Linked DNA regions of Neurospora crassa OR74A. Each later gene encodes a partner of the first gene's protein in a complex. Links are inferred from orthologs where the notes say so. Each region holds a gene or a part of one and is shown on either strand. Other genes may lie near its edges.

Region 1 (9,200 bases):
TTCCTCTTCTAACTCCTGAGGTCATGATCACTTCCCTCCTTGTATATTTCTCTCTGAGCGTCGTTCAAACTGCATAGCATCGGGGCATCATCTGTGATACGGGCTGTATGTATGTATGTTATTTTCTTTATCTTGTTTCTCAGCGTGTTTTTGTGCGTTGGTGATGATGATGGTGATGTTATGAATTGTCTATTTGCGAGTGAGGTGAACTTGGGAAAGTGATGACCAAACCAACCAACCAGGAGCTCTTACTCCGTTCTGTCTTGTTTCATTTCGATTACATTCGGGGACCGGTTTGCTTGCCTGCTAGTGGCGGCAAGTAAGGGAAATTAAAATTACCTAGAAGGGAACGACCGAGGAACCTACTACAAATACAAAGAGGAGGAACTTGACGGGAATCAACAAGAAGGGATGAACAAAACAAAATACTAGGGATAAGACAGAGAGAGGGGGAAGGGAAACCAATGGAATGGAACACACGGAAGGAACGCAAAAAAAAGGGGGAAATCACCCGTACCGGTGTCCAAGACAAAAGGAGGAATGAGAATATGTACGGAAGGAGTAATCACGAGATGGGTAGAGATCATCTCATCTTCAGTTACTTTGGACTGAAGAGTAGACTGGAGGTACGGTAATACTTGGCGAAATGAAATTGAAAGTCATCGATGTGTGGGAAGACGGGGCGGGACGGGGGCGAGGAGGATACCTTCCCAGGCAATTGAGTAGGTAGGTAAAACCTTACGAACTATCGAAAGAGACAAATGGAGTCAAGGAGGTAATACAGGCAAATGGATTGAATTGAATTGAGCCACTTTCAATCTACCTCTGTGTGATAACTCACTCACTTCACCTCCAAGTCACCGAGTCACCAAGTCACCAACTGAGTAAACAAAAACCACACCGGGCAACAAGCAAGCGGGCATTGTTCCCCAACAACCTCAGTTAATACCTACTTGCTCCTCGCCAGACCTACGAAGTCGAACGGCGCTGAACTTCAGGACAGAGAGAGAAGCACAAACAGCAAGAATAAGAAGAAGAAGGAATACCTACCTCTTGTTCTACGAGGGTTAGGTTCTTTCTTTCGTGTTACCACACTTCTCTACCTAGTTTGGTCAAAATCATATGTTTGCTTCTGCTTCCACATTCCCTTGACACATACATATATACTGCGTATATATATTGAAGAGCGGCAGGACGTGGACTGGACGTGCCGGGATACGCATGACCAGGGGGGGAAGGGGGAGGATGGCGTTGCCACGTGGATAGCACATGGAAAGCGGGCGGGCGGGAGGGATGGATGGATGGATGGATCATGGGAAGCATGGGAAGCGGGAGGGGGGGATCATTCAGACAGGGCTTGCTTGCTTGCTTGCTTAGACAGGGGATGTTTACAAGGATTAGAAAGAGCTTTGTGGGCAAGATGAAAGGGTAGCCGGACGGACGGACGGACGACACGGGGTGGTGGTGGTGGGATTGCGGAAGTGTACATGGGATGGAAGAAATGTCGTAGGAATGTTGTGGGAGTATTGGAAATTGGGGATTTGGTGCGCGGGATGTGTGCGAGACTTCCTAGTCATCTAGGTAGGTACTTTTTTTTTTTTTTTTTTTTTTTTTTTTTTTTTTTGGTTGTTTTTCCTCTGGTGATTCCATGATTAGGTGTAGGATGAATAGACCTTTAACCTTTTATCTTTTTCGGGTCCTCCGCTCGTTTTATGGCCTTCTGCACCAGCTTCTCCCTCAGTTTCGTCCCCCTCATATTCCCAGTAACGAGTAGCTGTTAGTGGATCAACACCAACAACACTTACCTATCTACGATTTCAGTCCTCGCTTGCTTGCTGAAATACAAAGTCTCTGCACACTTCTTCCTCTCTCAGCCAGCCGAGGTTAACCCTGCCTGTCGAGAGATCCCCAAGATATATATTTCGAACCCGGGACCACGCCAAACCCAGGGCACTTACTCGGAAGAACATCCAGTGTCCGTCCATATTCCCATCCTTCATCTGCTCTCTCATACTCCCTTTCAACTGTATCTCCTAGTGCCAGAATTCGAACCAGAACCAGGTCTAGAGCCGGAACTACTCCTCCTCGAACTCAATCTCAAACCATAAACACTCGAACATCATCATACCGCCGGTACCATCACTGTCGTCCAACAAACCTTTAACAGGCAACAAATCCCCACCCACCATCTCAGGAGGAACTCCCTCCGCAACATCAATCCAGATGGAACCCACCACTACTACTACTACTACTACTACCACCACCACCAAACCCATCACGCAACCCCTCAATGCAGAGGATTCCAAACTGGACCACCTCTTTCCTCCTCCTGCTACTGTCATTACTACTCAGTCGATGGAGACTACTCCCGCTGCTGATACTTCTCTCAAGACAAACACGGGGGCTAATACGAAGAGATGTCAGTCCAAAAGACTTCCACCACCACCATTTGGCAAGACGACATCCGACAACGACAACGACAACGACAAAGGAAGTAAGGAGAGTAATAATAATAATAACAACAATAACAATAACAATAACAATACAGAGGCGTATAATGCCTTTTGGGGCAAGTTGATTGGGATTACACCCGACAACAACAACAACGACAAAAGCAAGGAGAATAATGATAATGATAAGAATGAAAATGATGATGAAAATAATAATGAAAATAATGATACAGAGGCGTATAATGCCTTTTGGGGCAAGTTGATTGGGGTTGTCCTGCCGAAGGATGGTGGTGATTAGAGGTAGGTGAGGGAAGGGGAAGGGGAAGGGGAAATGCGGAGAGGGGGACACAGGGAAGAGGGGACACAGGGGAAGGGGAAATGCGGAGAGGGGACTGGACACAGGGGAGAGGGGTCACTCAGGGGAGAGAGAGTGTGTGTGGGTGTGAGAATTTGTAGGTAGATGTTGGGTTTCTAGGTCAGGTAGGGCAGGACTTGGACATGGACATGGACCTGCTCTACTGTGGAGGAACAGGTAAAGATGCATTATGGTCGGTTTTTTTCTTCTAACAGTTCTCTTGACGGTTTTTTTGATACCTAGTCATCAGAGGTAGGTCGGTATAGTGGAAATTGTTATCTCGTTTTGCTTCGTTGGGGTTGGTACCTCAAGCCAGACAAAGTAGGGGCACGCCGTATTGGGGCTGTAGCCAATCAGTCAGTCAGTCAATTAGTCAGTCACTTGGCCTTCAAAACACCAACATCCATGTAGGCTTCATTTGTCCCATGTTGTCAGTCAGCCAAAAGGCGATATAGCAGCTGTATTGATTGCCGTTGCCGTTGCCGTTGCCGTTGCCGTTGCCGTTTGCTGTCCTGGCTGCGAAGTGAAATGTGAAAAGACATTTGGGTATTACTGACTGCATGCAGATGTTGCGGAAAATAGGCATGAAGAACCAACATGCCTCCAACGAGGGGGAAGCATATCGAGTTGTGTACGGTCTACTATGTAGAGATGAGACGGGTAATTAAGGATGCATCATCATGGGCGGTTCTCTTAACTGTGGTTTGGCGGTTAACTTGATGATTTCAGCCCAGTCGTTTTTTAGGCAAACCGGACGAGTTTCTCTATCTTTATGCATAAGCAGCTCTGTTAAGGTGGAATGGATATCTATGAAGAGTTAACAAGAAACATACTTTTGGTAAGCCAGCAGTGTGGTCGAGTGTCTTCAGTGATGGTGCTTGAAGCTTCGGTTCCGTTATGAACTTCCCTTATCTTATCAAGTATATGAACCCACATCTGCAGTAGACACGGCAGAAGACGTTCCAGCTAGGGTTCACAAAGTTATATCGCAGGATCGTCATAAAGCGGGACGAGAGACGACATATTCGACGACTTTGATTCGGCGCCTGTACTGTGAGCCTTCATCCGTGTTGACATAAGGCTGTACTGTTTGCGTCTGGTCCCCTTATCTTATCGCCAGGCACGCTGTTGACTTTCGATAAGATCTACGTCTGGGATCAGTGGGATACGAATCTGGAGATTGGCATGGGAATGGAGTCATGGCCAGCAAGGTACACACGAGGCTGTGCGAAATCAAAGTGAACGCGACTGGAGCGCGTCGCAAACGGAGATTGTGTTGACAACTCGGGGTGATGTTTGGGTTTCAAGAAACGCAGGTGAAGATGACGTCGTATCATGACAAAGTAAACAAACACGAGTCGTAAACACTAGCCCAAGTTGGAATCAGTAACAGATAATTTGTCTTATCTGCCTTTTCTTGAGTTTGTACCAGCTCATCTTCCAAAACGGTGAGCAGGAACCTCAGGTCCGGGTATCAATCGACCATCAAGATCCGGGCGCGCTGTCGGTCGTAGAGTCGGATGTCTGCTACGGTGGAAATCCGTCGCTTCAACAAGTGGAGAGCAAGCTTCCAAGTGTTTTTACTTCTTTTGCTCAAAAGCGCATCTTCATTGTCCGTGTAAAGCTACGCCGATGAACCGAACCCCTGATATCATAAGCCTCCCATAACCGAAGTCGTATGTGCGAGAAACCGTCGCAGACCCATGCAAGCTTTGGAAGAACAAATTGGAAACGAGAGGTCATGACCAAACCAGAAGAAAGCCCCCTTTCTTCGCTTAGTCGAAGAGACCGAAGCCCATATCCTCGTCGGACTCCTCCTTCTCTGTAAAGTGCAAAACGCAGGTTAGTAACTAGCAGCAGCAGCAGCAGCAACAGCCCCGGGAAAGAGCTTGGGAGTAGATGATTCCACATACCCTCAACCTTCTCCTCAGCCTTGGCCTCCTCAGCGGCACCACCAGCGGCAGCGGCGCCAGCGGCAGCGGGGGCAGCGGCGGCACCACCGGAGCCGACGTTGGAAAGGAGGTCCTTCACATCCTTGCCCTCAAGAGCCTATTTTCGCAAAAGAGACTCCAGTCAGTTTATCGTGTTCGCGTTTCTCTCAAGATATCGTTTCTTTTTTTTTTCGGATTGTCGTCGTCGGTGGTTTCATCGTACCTTGGCGAAGAGGGAAGCCCAGATAGGCTCGACATCCTCGATCTTGGCAGCCTTGATGATGGTCTGGATCTTGTCGGCCTATATCATGCGAAAACGGGTTTGGTCAGTCAACATTGTTCCTCCCAATGTGCTTGTTCATATCACTCATTGTCCTCCACTCGGTTTGCCCCTCAATCCATGTTTCGTCATTTGTCCCGGTCGTTGAAAGCGCATGTCGAGCAATAACCGTGTGTACATGGCGCGCTTGAAACTGTCCCCAAACCCCGAATCCACCCAAATCTTGCCAACCAAAAGATCATGTGCATTGGTCGCAAACTCACAGTGATCTCAACGCCGTCATCGGCGAGGATGAGCGCCGCGTAGGAGGTAGCCAGCTCAGCAGTAGACATTTTGATGGTGTTGATTGTCGAGGCGCAAAGATGCTGAGTCTCGGGAGGGCTGTTCGATCGTGGGATGATGTCCTAGCTAGAAATTCGCGGGAAGTGAAATTTAATTAGTTGTGGGCAATTCAAAAAATGCCCTGGGACCCTACAAAGGCGGGCAGCTGGCAAGCGACTGGCAGCGGCTTGGATGCCAAGACTCTTTTGAGCTGCCGTTCTGCTTTTTGCCTGGTCTGTGCACGCTGGGAGATGGAAATGCAACAGCCCCACGATGTCACGGTCCAAACCAGCGGTTCAGTTCGCAACCCGAACCCGAGGGTTGGTGGTACTGTAGGTAGGACTGGGTGCAGGGCAGTGCTGCCCTGACTGCCGCTACCGCCCAACAGGCACGTGCTGGCCTCCAGGGCATTGCCGTCCCTCGCACTTGTACCGGATCGGGACGACTGATGTTCCCCCACCAGTTGACCATAGTGTATGGCCTGGAATTTGGGGAAGCACCTCATCGATTCAGGCCGGGCAGTTTGGCGCCCAGCCTTGCCAAGACGAGTGCCCTGGTCCGACAAGCTTTCCGCCAGGCCTCGACCCTTGTCGGCAAGAACCCCACCATTCCTTTGGCACTACACTATCTACCATGGAGCTCCTTCGCCCCGCCGCTATTCATGCATCCACTGACGTCGCCGCTGTGGATTCGGGGCGCCATAGGCCTCTTCTCCTGCCGTAGCGGAGTGCCTGCCGACACGCCAGCCCGTCCCGTCGGGTTGTCTCTGAGAAGCATCCATCTGCACCTATTTCAGCACTCAGTCCAGCAATTCCGCAAAAACCAACAAGAGTGAGATCAACAAGGGAAAGCGCACGAATCAGGAGGCAGCGTTCATCACTCTTGTCAACTCCTCCGTCGGAAAGGGGAAATACCATAGTACTTGGAGAAACGCCATCAACCGGACAAACAACTGAACTTGCATCCCGCTCTCTTTGCCATTGTTGAGGCGCATTACATTACATAGACCAAGTCTACTCCTTGGATCAAAGAAAGCTGGACTTGGACAAGGAATCGCCCGTTTCCAACATTCATTCCCTTGCTCCGGCAACACCATCCTTTTCCCAATTGCTTGGCTGCGTCTTTCCCATTCTCAACAATCCTTTCGCGCCTTTTCTTTTCCTTCAACCAACATCGACCCTCGAACGGCATCATCCAAGTAACGAAAACGAGCCAACTCTCAGACATCGCAACCGACTTCACCGACTTTTACCCATAAACACCCAACACAAAACAACACAACACAACACAATAAACACATAGCGACAATGGAGACTCCGGCGATGCCCATGCCGAAAGATGAGCGGGAACAAGCCATTCTCGACAAGCTCTCAGCCATCCGCGATCAGCTGCTGCTCCTCAAGAGAGACCGAACAAAATACATCCGCACTCAGGATGTGATTGTACACTATGATCAGGTTGTCGAGCAGGTCAAGGAACTCAACGAGATTAGGAAAGGGGAAAAGGTGACCGAGACCAGAGGTACGCCCATCCTCCATAGCCCATCCCAAGCTGCCAATTGAACAAGGAAAATCTAACACCACCCCCGTAGTCGACAGAGTCCTCGAGAGCTGCCTACAGCTCCTCTCCCTCTTCTTCATGACCATCGGCCGCACACAAGAAGCCCCTGCCGCCTATGCGTTGACCTCGACCATCAAGCGATTACTCGACCACCTGACCGAGGCCGACCTCTACTCAGCCAAAGACCTGAACAGCATAGCCCACACCCTCTCGCAGCTCGACAAGATCATGACGGCCTCGGACCCCTCCGCCCACTCGCCCTACATTGTTGAGCTTTTGGCCAACCGGCTGGAGCTCTGCCATAGCTCGCTGGATAACCTGAAGAAGAGGGTGGACGAGCTGCAGGACCCGCTACAGAGCATGCATGAGAGGCTGATCTCCATACTACGGTCCATGTCACTTGCGAACACCAAGGCCAAGGTAAGGACGCACAAGGGCGGACGGATACGAGAATGGTAAGCTAACAGGTCACACAGTTTTCGGCATCAGAGGTCCAGAGGCTACAAGCGCAGGTCAAGGAGATTGACGAGTCGAGGGTGGATGGCAACTTTGTCGGGCCAGACGGCCAAGTTCTTCGTGGTAGCGAGAGGGTATCGCGCCTAGTGGATGTCTGCCTCAGGTGGTCTGACATTGTTCTTGAAAGGTACGTACAACTATCCCACATTTCACTGCCAGCCAGTTCCTGACCCCCACCTTAGGAAAGGAGTTATCCCCGAGGCCTTCAAGGCTAGGCACGAGCAGCTTGTCAGCATCCGTAATGAGCTCGAGAAGCTGTCCATCACCCAGGCCTGGTCACTGCGCGAGACGGACCTGTACGACTACCAGCGCAAGCTCGACAAGATAGATGAGAGCCGAGTGGATGGCAACTGGCTGGACGACGAAGGAAAGCCCGCCGAGCTGTACGTCCAGCGTACGCTGCTGTACCTCATCAGGAGGAGCTATGGCTACATCTACTACCTGATGATCTCGTCGGAGCCGGTATCGGAGGCTCTGCTGCCCATCTATAACCAGCTCCAGACGCTGAAGCGGTGCCTGATCGAGGTGAAGGACTCGGGCGGTGTCAGCTCGGTCAGGGAGCTGTATCCCTACAGCATGAAGGTATGTTTGTCAATCTTTGCCCCATGGGCACTGGACAGTGATTAACGTTGGATTACAGCTCAACTCCATTGACAACATGCGCGTCGATGGCAAGTTCATGGTTGGCGGCGATATACCCGAGGGCCAAGGGAGCGTCAGCGCTTTGCTGGCTGAGTGCTACGATCTTTCCTATGAGTTGAAGGTCATGGCTGAAGAGATGGAGGAGAAGGAGAAGGATAGCTCCTCGTAATCGATTGACCCTGAGCGAAAGTTTCGATATCATAGACTTGAGGGCTTTACGGCATTTTGTACTGAATAGTTGTGGTTTCCTTTTGTTTTTTCTCATCCAGCGGCGTCTGCTTTTACTTATACACAATATGGGATGTTGAAGCGAAAGGACTCTTCACCACCAGATACGCTGCATCATTTCTCTATTGTTGGCTGACAAGCTCGCAGCTAAAACTTGACTTTTTGTACGTTTGTCTGGCGATGAGATCATTACGGCTGCTCCCTCCCCTATCTGATCTTTGATGCATATTACCTCCTTATATTACCTAGAAGCAGCACACAAAAGAGAGCACAATGTCGGTCCAAGGAGCATGAAGAGACGCGTGAAGGCTTAATGCGACTGCAGTCACAGCTTCCGTTTGTCGAGGGTTGTTTTGTCTCACGCCTCCCGCCAATTGTCCGTTCCTTCCATGATATCTTCGAGTCTCTGCTGTTTCTTAGTTCTTACGACAATCGCATCCACGTTGCATATCCATTAAGCTGTCGCGCCGCCTTTCTACTACCTTGTCAATCCTTTCCCATCTTTTACTTTCATCTCATCACCGCACACACACACACACACACACACAGAGAGAGAGAGAGAGAGAGAGAGAGAGAGAGAGAGAGAGAGAGAGAGAGAGAGAGAGAGAGAGAGAGAGAGAGAGAGAGAGAGAGAGAGAGAGAGAGAGAGAGAGAGAGAGAGAGAGAGAGAGAGAGAGAGAGAGAGAGAGAGAGAGAGAGAGAGAACCATTCTCCTCGGGAACAAACTACCCTGGAGAAAACATGCTGAAATTTGGAGAATCCCGTCCCAGCGTCTTTGCTCTTGCTCTTGTTCTTGCTCTTGCTCTTGCTCTTGCTCTTGCTCTTGCTCTTGCTCTTGCTCTTGCTCTTGCTCTTGCTCTTGCTCTTGCTCTTGCTCTTGCTCTTGCTCTTGCTCTTGCTCTTGCTCTTGCTCTTGC
Region 2 (8,145 bases), about 3.9 Mb from region 1:
GATACCGGTAGTAGCACTAGGGGAGGCCGAGGGCGCGGTGATGGCGTTGGGGGCGCGGAAGATGGTACTGGGGGTGGAAGACAAGGTGGCGGGACGGAGGGAGGGGAGGATGGAGAATGAGCTGTATTCAGGGAAGTGGTCAGTTACTATGTTTGTGTTTTGGCATGCGGGTGGGGAGGGAAGGCAAGAGCAGAACAGCGTACCGAGTGGCAGTCTTGGGAAGAAAAGCGCTCGGCTTGAAAACAGCCTGGAGGGCCGACGAGAAAATCCTGGACATTTTGTCTACAAATGTGGTTGTCGCCGATGATGGTAGTGGTGGTAGTCGACGTCAAAGGATTGCGGGGGTGGAACAGGACCGGGCGAGACCGAATGCGCCGGGACGAACACAAAGCGTTTCGGGGATCCTATAGAGTGGTTCGCGACGAGCGGGCGCGGTTGCTGGATCGGCTCCGTCCAAAGTTCGATTGATCGGCCGGGGTCCGGGGAGAGCTTTTTGCACCCGGTTGCCAGCTGCTACTGTGGGAAGCAAGGGTTAGGGTTAAGTATTTCATCTGTGTTACCTCGACAATATGGTCTGCATTCGGTAATGAACCGCATAACAAGTTCCAGGTTCAAGGTTGATGAACTCCGTCCTGTTCAGTTCAGTAATGGAAGCCAGATTCTTTCTAGATTGTCTATCAAAAATTGAAGATTTAAAAGCAATATAGAGTAGGGTACTCTTCGCTGAGTGTGCTGATTTCCTTTGATTTGTGATCCCGCGCATGTCAGCCTTATTTATCAATTCCTCATCCACCTTCTCATTTGCATCATCCTTCACTGGCTTAGAGCTCATCCCGCCCAGTGGCAGTAGCAACATCAATCTTCTCTTCACCATCCTTGGCCTTCTCCTTGCCCTCAACCTTTCCAGTGGACTGCCAGTTGAGAGCCTTCAGTCTCTCGGTCAAAATGGGGTGCGAGAAGTGGTAAGTGGCGAACATCCAATCAGCATCCATAGTGCTGAGGTTCTGGATCTGGAGCTTGATCAAGGAGCGAGCGAGCTCCGCATTGTAGCCAAGCTTGTTGGCGAACTCATCAGCCTGGAACTCGAACTTGCGGCTGAGAACATTCATGCCCAGCTTGATGAGGGTGTCGGTAGGGCCAAGGACGTCCGAGAAGAGAAGGAATCCAACGATGATAGGGTGCACCGTGTGGAAGCCAAAGTCGGCATAAAGGGAGTTGTTGTTGATGAAAACGGAGAAGAGAGAGAAAATGGCGAAGAAGTGGGCCTATGCATTGTCAATCACAATTCGTGGTAAACAGCGGGATAACAAAGCAGCATCAGCTTACCTGGGAGATGCCAAAGAGACTAGTGGTGTGACCCAACTTCCAGTGACCCAGCTCGTGTGCAAGAACGGCAACAACTTCCTGGGTCTCGCTCTTTTCAATTAGGGTATCATAAATGACAATGTGCTTCTTCCAGGGCATGCCGAAGAAATAAGCGTTGCTGTGGGCACTGCGCTTGCTGCCATCAATGACGTGCAACTCGGAGAGGGGGAACTTGAGCTTCTTGGCGAGATCCTCCACGCTGCTCTTGAGCTCACCCTCCTCAAGAGGAGAGAGCTTGTTAAACAGAGGCAGAATGAAAATCGGGTAGATGGTGATCATGACAACCTGGAGACCAGCGACGAAAACCCAGAGATAGTAGAAGAACTGGTTTCCAGTCTTTTGCACGATAGCTAAAAAGCCGGCGAGGATCGGAGGCGTGAGAACGAAGGTCAAGAAGAGGGACTTGATCTTGTCGGTAATCCAAAGCTTGGCAGACGACTTGTTGAAACCGAACTTCTCCTCCAAGACAAAAGTGTGGTAGAGGCTAGTCGGTAGCGAGAGAATCTGGGAGATGACGACAAAGGACAGGACGAAGACGATAGATTGCGAGATTTCGCCGGAGAACCTGGCTGGCGCGAACCGAACGAGGAGGTTGCCGGCGAATGACCATAGCTTCGGGAGGACGTCGAACTGATAGAACAAGATGTTTTGGATTTGACCGTAGATACCGCTGAAGAACTCGAACTTTGCCTTGGCGCGTCCGTATGCCTGTATCGTGTGTCAGAGAATGGTGGCCGGTTGGCCCGTAGCCTAGGGGATATCGTACCTGACTCTTGTCAAAGACCTCCTGGGACACCTCATGCTCCAACACCTTGGGGACCTTGGTCTTCTTGAGGACCTGATACTGACGATAACCGAGGAAACCTTCGATGAAGTAGTTGGCGAGGGAGAAGCCGATGATCAGCTTCTTCCAGGGAAAGAGAGGCCGGTCGAGGAACCTCGCGAGACGCTGTCGTTTTGAGAGTGCCATGTTAGCCGGTGCACGCCTTGGATGTCAGAGGAGAAGGATTTCGCAAAACGTACCTGAAGGAACTCCATCGTCGCGCAATAAGGGCGTGTCTACTAGAGGCTCCGCCGAATGCGCAAATGGAATGTTTGTTTGTTGGAACAATGAAAGCCAAAAGACCGTGTCAGATTGTCCGCCGCATTGGTTATAAGCACAATGCCAGGCAAGGTACAAACAGTAACAACAACCTGTCCTTGCCCCAGTTTCGCTTGGAGCTTCCTTGCAGGCATGTACCGCTACGTACCCTGCTGTGTATGGCGCAGTCGCCAACACTAGAAGTTACACATGCTGATTGGGTCGGGCTACTTCTCCTTGCGCTCGCCCCGCTCGGTAAATCTTATCGATAAGCCCGGTCGTAGAGGTTCCCCCGCCGCGAACCCGGACGCAACGCTGGATTGTTCGCATGTTGCCGGGTCACCCTACAGATCTCCGAACATAACAGTGTTTCCTGTTGTCATCAAGGCGCATTTCCCGATGTCTATAGTATGTAGTCATATCGTGTGGCTTCCGGTTTATGATCTTGTATTTAGCGGTTAGGATCACGAGTATGCAAGTACGATGGGAGAACAGGATTCAACAGCCATGTGTCCTCTAGCCAGCTGACGACACCATCGCCGGGCAGCATGCTATGAAGATAGTAATGTCCTCAAGAACATGGAACAGAGATAAATGCAGGCTAGGTATTCTTCAAGGGGTATAAACATATCATAGGGCTCCTCCGATTTCTCCAGCACGACCAGTTCACTGTCTTGGGATTCTCAAGTTCGCTTGGATCCTTTCCAGTAACTGCTCCCGGGTGTCCGAATCTTGTGGATGAAGATTACGCTGGTGATCATCAAAGTTAGCTCACAACATTAGCTTCGAGTTCTGCGTCAGCTTCTAACAAACTTGAAAACTCACCAGTGCAAGCCATCTGCGCATCTCCTCGCGAGTCCATTCTTCAGGATTGCCCTTTGGGTCAGCCTGGTCTTGAGGAAACACTTCGCCTCCAAAGATAGACCATGCGGCGACACCCGTCACGATGCCGGCGAATGCTATGTGGGGTTAGTCAAGCTTCGGTCGACTGCCCGACTGTTAAAAAAGAAGCTCACCAAGAAATGCGTTCTTGCTCGCGGAAACTATCAGAAGAGATTCGACAAGCATGATTGCTTCGGGATGTTGTGTTGTTGTGAAGAGGTACTCACTCGTGATCTCAACGCTTTATCTAGTGCCGTGGGCATATCGAGTAGTTCGGAAAAGGGTTGTCTTCGTTATAAGTGGTGGTAAGGCAAGAGGGGTAGACGCACTACTACAAAACGTTAACGCCCTAACTGAGTTGTCTGATGAGGTGGCACTTGGTTTGGAACAAAAGAAGCTCTACAATTAGGACCGCGTGATTAGTTTTTGATTATATACTATCTGGATTACACAAACTGGAATCGTGTCCTCCCGAGGCCTCGACCAGATGCGACCGAGCTTGAAGGCGAACTGCCGCGCAATCCCGTCAGATGTTCCAGATGGTCTAATGGTGACTGCCTGCGACTGAGGTAAGTCGACGCCACACGAGCTCCCTGTGTCACTGCATCTCCCAAAGTCGACGCAGTTACCAAAAGTGCAGCATCAGCCACACTTGGAGCTTGCGCTAACGTCGGCAGGTGTGATCTGGCGGAAGTGACAGCGGAAACAAGGGTGCATCGCGTTAGCGGCCCATTGCCCGCACGCATCCCCACCAAGCCACTCGCACCGCCCAGGCCCCAAACCCACACAAAATTATTTCCATAGTACCTAAAATTCATCCACGCTCCTGAACTCCGTTGTCGTCGTCACCACAAGTACGGGAAGTCCAGCACCAAGTCGCCAAAATGCCTCAGGAAATCGGAGATATCAAGAAGGTACGGAAATGCCCGTCGTCATGCTGAATTTGTGCATGCATGGTGCAAATGGGCTGTTTTGCTGACTTTGATTTCAACTACAGTTCATCGAGATCTGCCGGCGCAAGGACGCTTCCGGTACGTTTGGCTGAGGGCCTGCCTGAGAAAACACCGTAGCGAAAACCGAACGAAATTCTAACAGAGACGCTTTGATCCAACAGCCGCCCGGATTAAGAAGAACAAGGCTACTCAGCAGATCAAGTTCAAGGTCCGCTGCCAGAAGTACCTCTACACCCTTGTTCTCAAGGACTCCGACAAGGCTGAGAAGCTCAAGGCTTCCCTCCCTCCTTGTACGCGCTCCCCGACCCCCGAATAATAGCTCGAGAGAGAGATGGACAAACCGGAAAAAAAGCAGTTGCGAGAAAAGGATGGAACTGACATGCGAAACTACAGCCCTGACCATCGCCGACGTTGCCAAGCGCAACAAGAAGCAGACTGCTTAAATCTCTCGACAATGAGGAACTGATGGCTGCTTTGGCGCGAACGGGAAGCGAGTGAATGACGATTTTCAACTGCCTGGTTCTGGTGCTGGACATTTAATTCTCGCGAACTAAGACGGCGTTCTCGGATCGGGGGAAACCTTCATGGGATTGGGAACAGGAGTACTTGCGAGAGCAGGTGCAGGTCTTCGGAGCAGCGTGATGACTCTTTAGTTGTCAAGGTCTCACCGACCGCAAACCAACCCCTTGCAGAGGGTCTGAATACACATTCATGAGCGACCAATTCTTGGACCCCAGACTTGCGCATTTTCCCAACCAAGTGTCAAAGTGACAAAGAGGGCACTACAGGAACCGTCTGTAGTGCTGTGTTTCCACCGACGAAGCGATACCAGCAAGCTGACTGTACAGGAAAGATTGAGACGACGCAACGAACTCTTGCGTATGACTTTCGACACAGGACCACCCGGAAACCAATACGAACTCCTCACCTCCCGTCTCGCGATCGACACTGCGCCCGCTTCTGACCAAGTGAGGATGCACGACCTTTTCCATACTCGCCTCCACCTTCTGCAGCGTTGCGGCAAAGCTCTCCTTCTTTTCAGTGTCGACCAAGAATCTCTCGACACTGATGACCGGGCTATCGAGGAGTGCAATCACGTCTTTGGCGGTAGTGGCCTGGTTATTCCCAAAGATGTTCGTATCCAAGTGGAAAAGAATCAGTCCGCCTGGCTGGTTGGGCGGCCCTTGATTTGCGATGATCTTGGTCAAGTCTGAGCCCTCCATTTGCTGCTTGTTATCGTCGCTGAGGATCCATGCCCAATGCTCCTCCACCGAGCCCCAACTCGTTGTTAGAAGTATCTGCGTCTCGTCGTCGATCCCCCGGAAACAAGCCACGGCCCGTGCCGAGGCGGAAGAGGGGCGGTCGGGAAAGGCGCGAGCGTACCATGCATCTTGGGCAGTGATGGCCCTGCTGAAGGTATCTCGGAGGGTAGAGTCGGTGATCCCGGTGTGTACTTGGATGATGGCAATTTCAGTGACAGTCATCGTCGAAATATGTTCTGCGTTAGTGATAAAGCCAGGTTGTGAGCTTGGCGGTCTGAACGCTTCAAAATGCAGCAAAACTTGAATCCGTACACAGCTTTTATGTGTGATGGTTGTAGTTCATTCGGACTCGCTCATTCGGGACGATACGAAACGCAAGCTAGGCTACCTCCAAATTCGTAATCATGCGGCACAGTTGGGACACCATACACAGTAGACAATATGCGCCTGCTTTATAAATCATGCCATCCGCGTCCCCACTTCCCAAAGAACAGAATCATTATGATGCCCTGTCGTTCAACCAACATCAATAGAGGCTCTGCCGGCCGTCATCTGAGGCTAGATGTATGTAAGAAGAAACACTGGTATGGATGCGATAATGAGTTCTTGCGACTCTTCTGGACAGTCTTAATCAAATCCCTGCTGATGTCGTATACATGACGAGAAATGGGCCCACGATCTTTGATAGAGTCGGGCATCGCCAGTGTTCGGGTTTCGGTGCATGATGCCAACTCATGTATGCACTTCGACAAACATGTCGAACCCACCCACTAATGAGGCTGTCATCAAGGCCCCAGAGATATGTAGCCAGGAATGAGCTAACAAACCCACGAGACAAGGGGAAGTTCAGGTGACCATCCGACGTAGTGTATGTCAATTGGAATTCAAAGCTTTGGCAAAGATTTGGACTTTTGAAGCCTCTTGTTGTTCTCCAAGACTCTGCCTGATGTTTGTCCTGGACCAAGCGAGTTTCTGGGTGATGCCACACGCCGCCTTTGCAGTCTAGACTCAACTGACGATGGGGCAGCTGTCAGTTGAGTGAGGAGCTTGGGGAGCAGAACTGTAGAGCTCCCCTTGTCCTGAGCCCCTGTTATTCTGTGATCTCCCGATGCTCCCCCCTCCCTGTTCGAGGCGTTGTCCAGTTCACCGGAAGCTAGCGTCGTGTTGAGAAGCCAGAAAGCGCCAATCAGCGGCCGTGAGAAGGAAATCTAAAGCTAAAAGCCTCCACCCCTGTCAGTCAAAGTCCATGATGACAACCCCTTTTCAGCGTGGAAAGTATGTAACGGCTTCGGCGTGTGGGCTGAGATTTCCAACAGCAAAGAGTTCTGATTAGGCGTAGATAGCTTAGGTTCGGGCGTAACGGACAGCAGGAGAAAGAAGAATAGCATCAGGCACCATTGCCGTAAAGTACGAAGAAGAAGAAAGAAAGAAAGAAAGAAAAAAAAAAAAAAAAAAAGAGCGAGATATCAGAGCCCACTGACCCTCTTCTGCTGGAGTACATAACAGCTCCCCGCCTCTGGCTTTGCTATCCCCACGTAACGGGGTACATTCTCTCCGCCGCAGTTGCTGCAATCTCAAGTTGGCAACCCCTCGGCACCCAATCAACCCAAGTCTGTACACACCGTGACAGCGCCCGCCGCCTTCAAACTGTCACTTTGCGCAACCTCAACACGGCACGTCTGCAAGATTACTTCCATCGCAAACATACTGGGACTTGTCACCTTGTGTAACTTGTGGTCGTCTGGCGTATCAGGAACACCAATTGCACTCGTTCGCAGCCTCCGCCTAAATATCCGTCATCTGGACCTTGCAGACTCGAGCTAGAAAAAGATCGGCAGTACATCAACAACCTCCATCTCGCCCGCTTGTTTACCAACATCCCTACGCTGCGATACCCTCAGTTGCTTTGGGACCAATCTGTCGTCTTGAGCCCCCAATTTCTCTAGGCCTTCGATATATTACATATCTCTACCTATTTAGGCAGCTTCGGTTGCCTTACGCCGACTCGCTCTTCATCAGATCGGCATCTCGGCACAGTTCTACCTCAACGTGAACTAGTACTCAGCCATCATCTTGTTGGCGATTCCACGGTTCACCCAATTGCGCCGGATTCGTATATTGAGCCCCTCTCCGAAGGGCCCCTCCCGCTTAGCATTGTTGGTATTGTTGTCGCCGAACACAGACCGAGGGACGCTCGGGTCGATTACGTACAACATACGCACAAAGAAAACCACCTCTGACCATGGCAGAGCAAGAACACAACGGAGTCAATGGATTCCATTCCGAGTCCGAGCAGAGAAACCAACCCGTAAATGGTGATGCGAGCGAGGCCGTCAACGGAAACCCCAGCAATGGTCTCAGAGTGACGATTGAAGAAAGCGCCAGCAGCGCCGTCAACGGGGGCTCTCCTACCAACAGCATGTTAACACCCATACGACAGAGAATGGAACGCAAAAAGTCCAGTCCCATGATGCCGACGTTCATGGTTTCGGCACCGGGAAAAGTCATTGTGTTTGGAGAGCACGCAGTCGTTCACGGCAAGGTACGTCGATCAAGCACCTAGATCATGGTGATGCTGGAAAAGGGGGTAATGATTCCCAGA

Evidence for each region.
Region 2: NCU08960 (region 1) and NCU03635 share a complex: the UniProt entries of both Saccharomyces cerevisiae proteins name them as parts of the large ribosomal subunit. The link is inferred for Neurospora crassa OR74A from reciprocal best matches to the Saccharomyces cerevisiae genes RPP1A and RPL38.

The regions. Positions count from the first base shown.
Region 1 is NC_026505.1:5,821,111-5,830,310, reverse strand, and holds NCU08960 (60S acidic ribosomal protein P1), read right to left. Parts: upstream 5,475-9,200; 5' UTR 5,349-5,474; coding exon 5,280-5,348; intron 5,038-5,279; coding exon 4,960-5,037; intron 4,855-4,959; coding exon 4,719-4,854; intron 4,628-4,718; coding exon 4,581-4,627; 3' UTR 3,768-4,580; downstream 1-3,767. Other genes in the region: NCU17038 (hypothetical protein), read left to right, coding at 2,224-2,748; NCU17037 (hypothetical protein), read left to right, coding at 5,475-5,669, 5,726-6,172; NCU08959 (hypothetical protein), read left to right, coding at 6,645-6,858, 6,929-7,317, 7,374-7,540, 7,596-7,995, 8,054-8,224; NCU17036 (hypothetical protein), read right to left, coding at 8,642-8,689, 9,010-9,200. UniProt on the Saccharomyces cerevisiae protein: Component of the ribosome, a large ribonucleoprotein complex responsible for the synthesis of proteins in the cell.
Region 2 is NC_026505.1:1,906,644-1,914,788, reverse strand, and holds NCU03635 (60S ribosomal protein L38), read left to right. Parts: upstream 1-4,097; 5' UTR 4,098-4,212; coding exon 4,213-4,242; intron 4,243-4,325; coding exon 4,326-4,359; intron 4,360-4,442; coding exon 4,443-4,571; intron 4,572-4,674; coding exon 4,675-4,724; 3' UTR 4,725-5,018; downstream 5,019-8,145. Other genes in the region: NCU03638 (hypothetical protein), read right to left, coding at 1-121, 204-277; NCU03637 (CaaX prenyl protease Ste24), read right to left, coding at 822-1,265, 1,327-2,073, 2,132-2,314, 2,389-2,403; NCU03636 (hypothetical protein), read right to left, coding at 3,113-3,196, 3,272-3,405, 3,463-3,514; NCU03634 (hypothetical protein), read right to left, coding at 5,064-5,765; NCU03633 (mevalonate kinase), read left to right, coding at 7,786-8,085. UniProt on the Saccharomyces cerevisiae protein: Component of the ribosome, a large ribonucleoprotein complex responsible for the synthesis of proteins in the cell.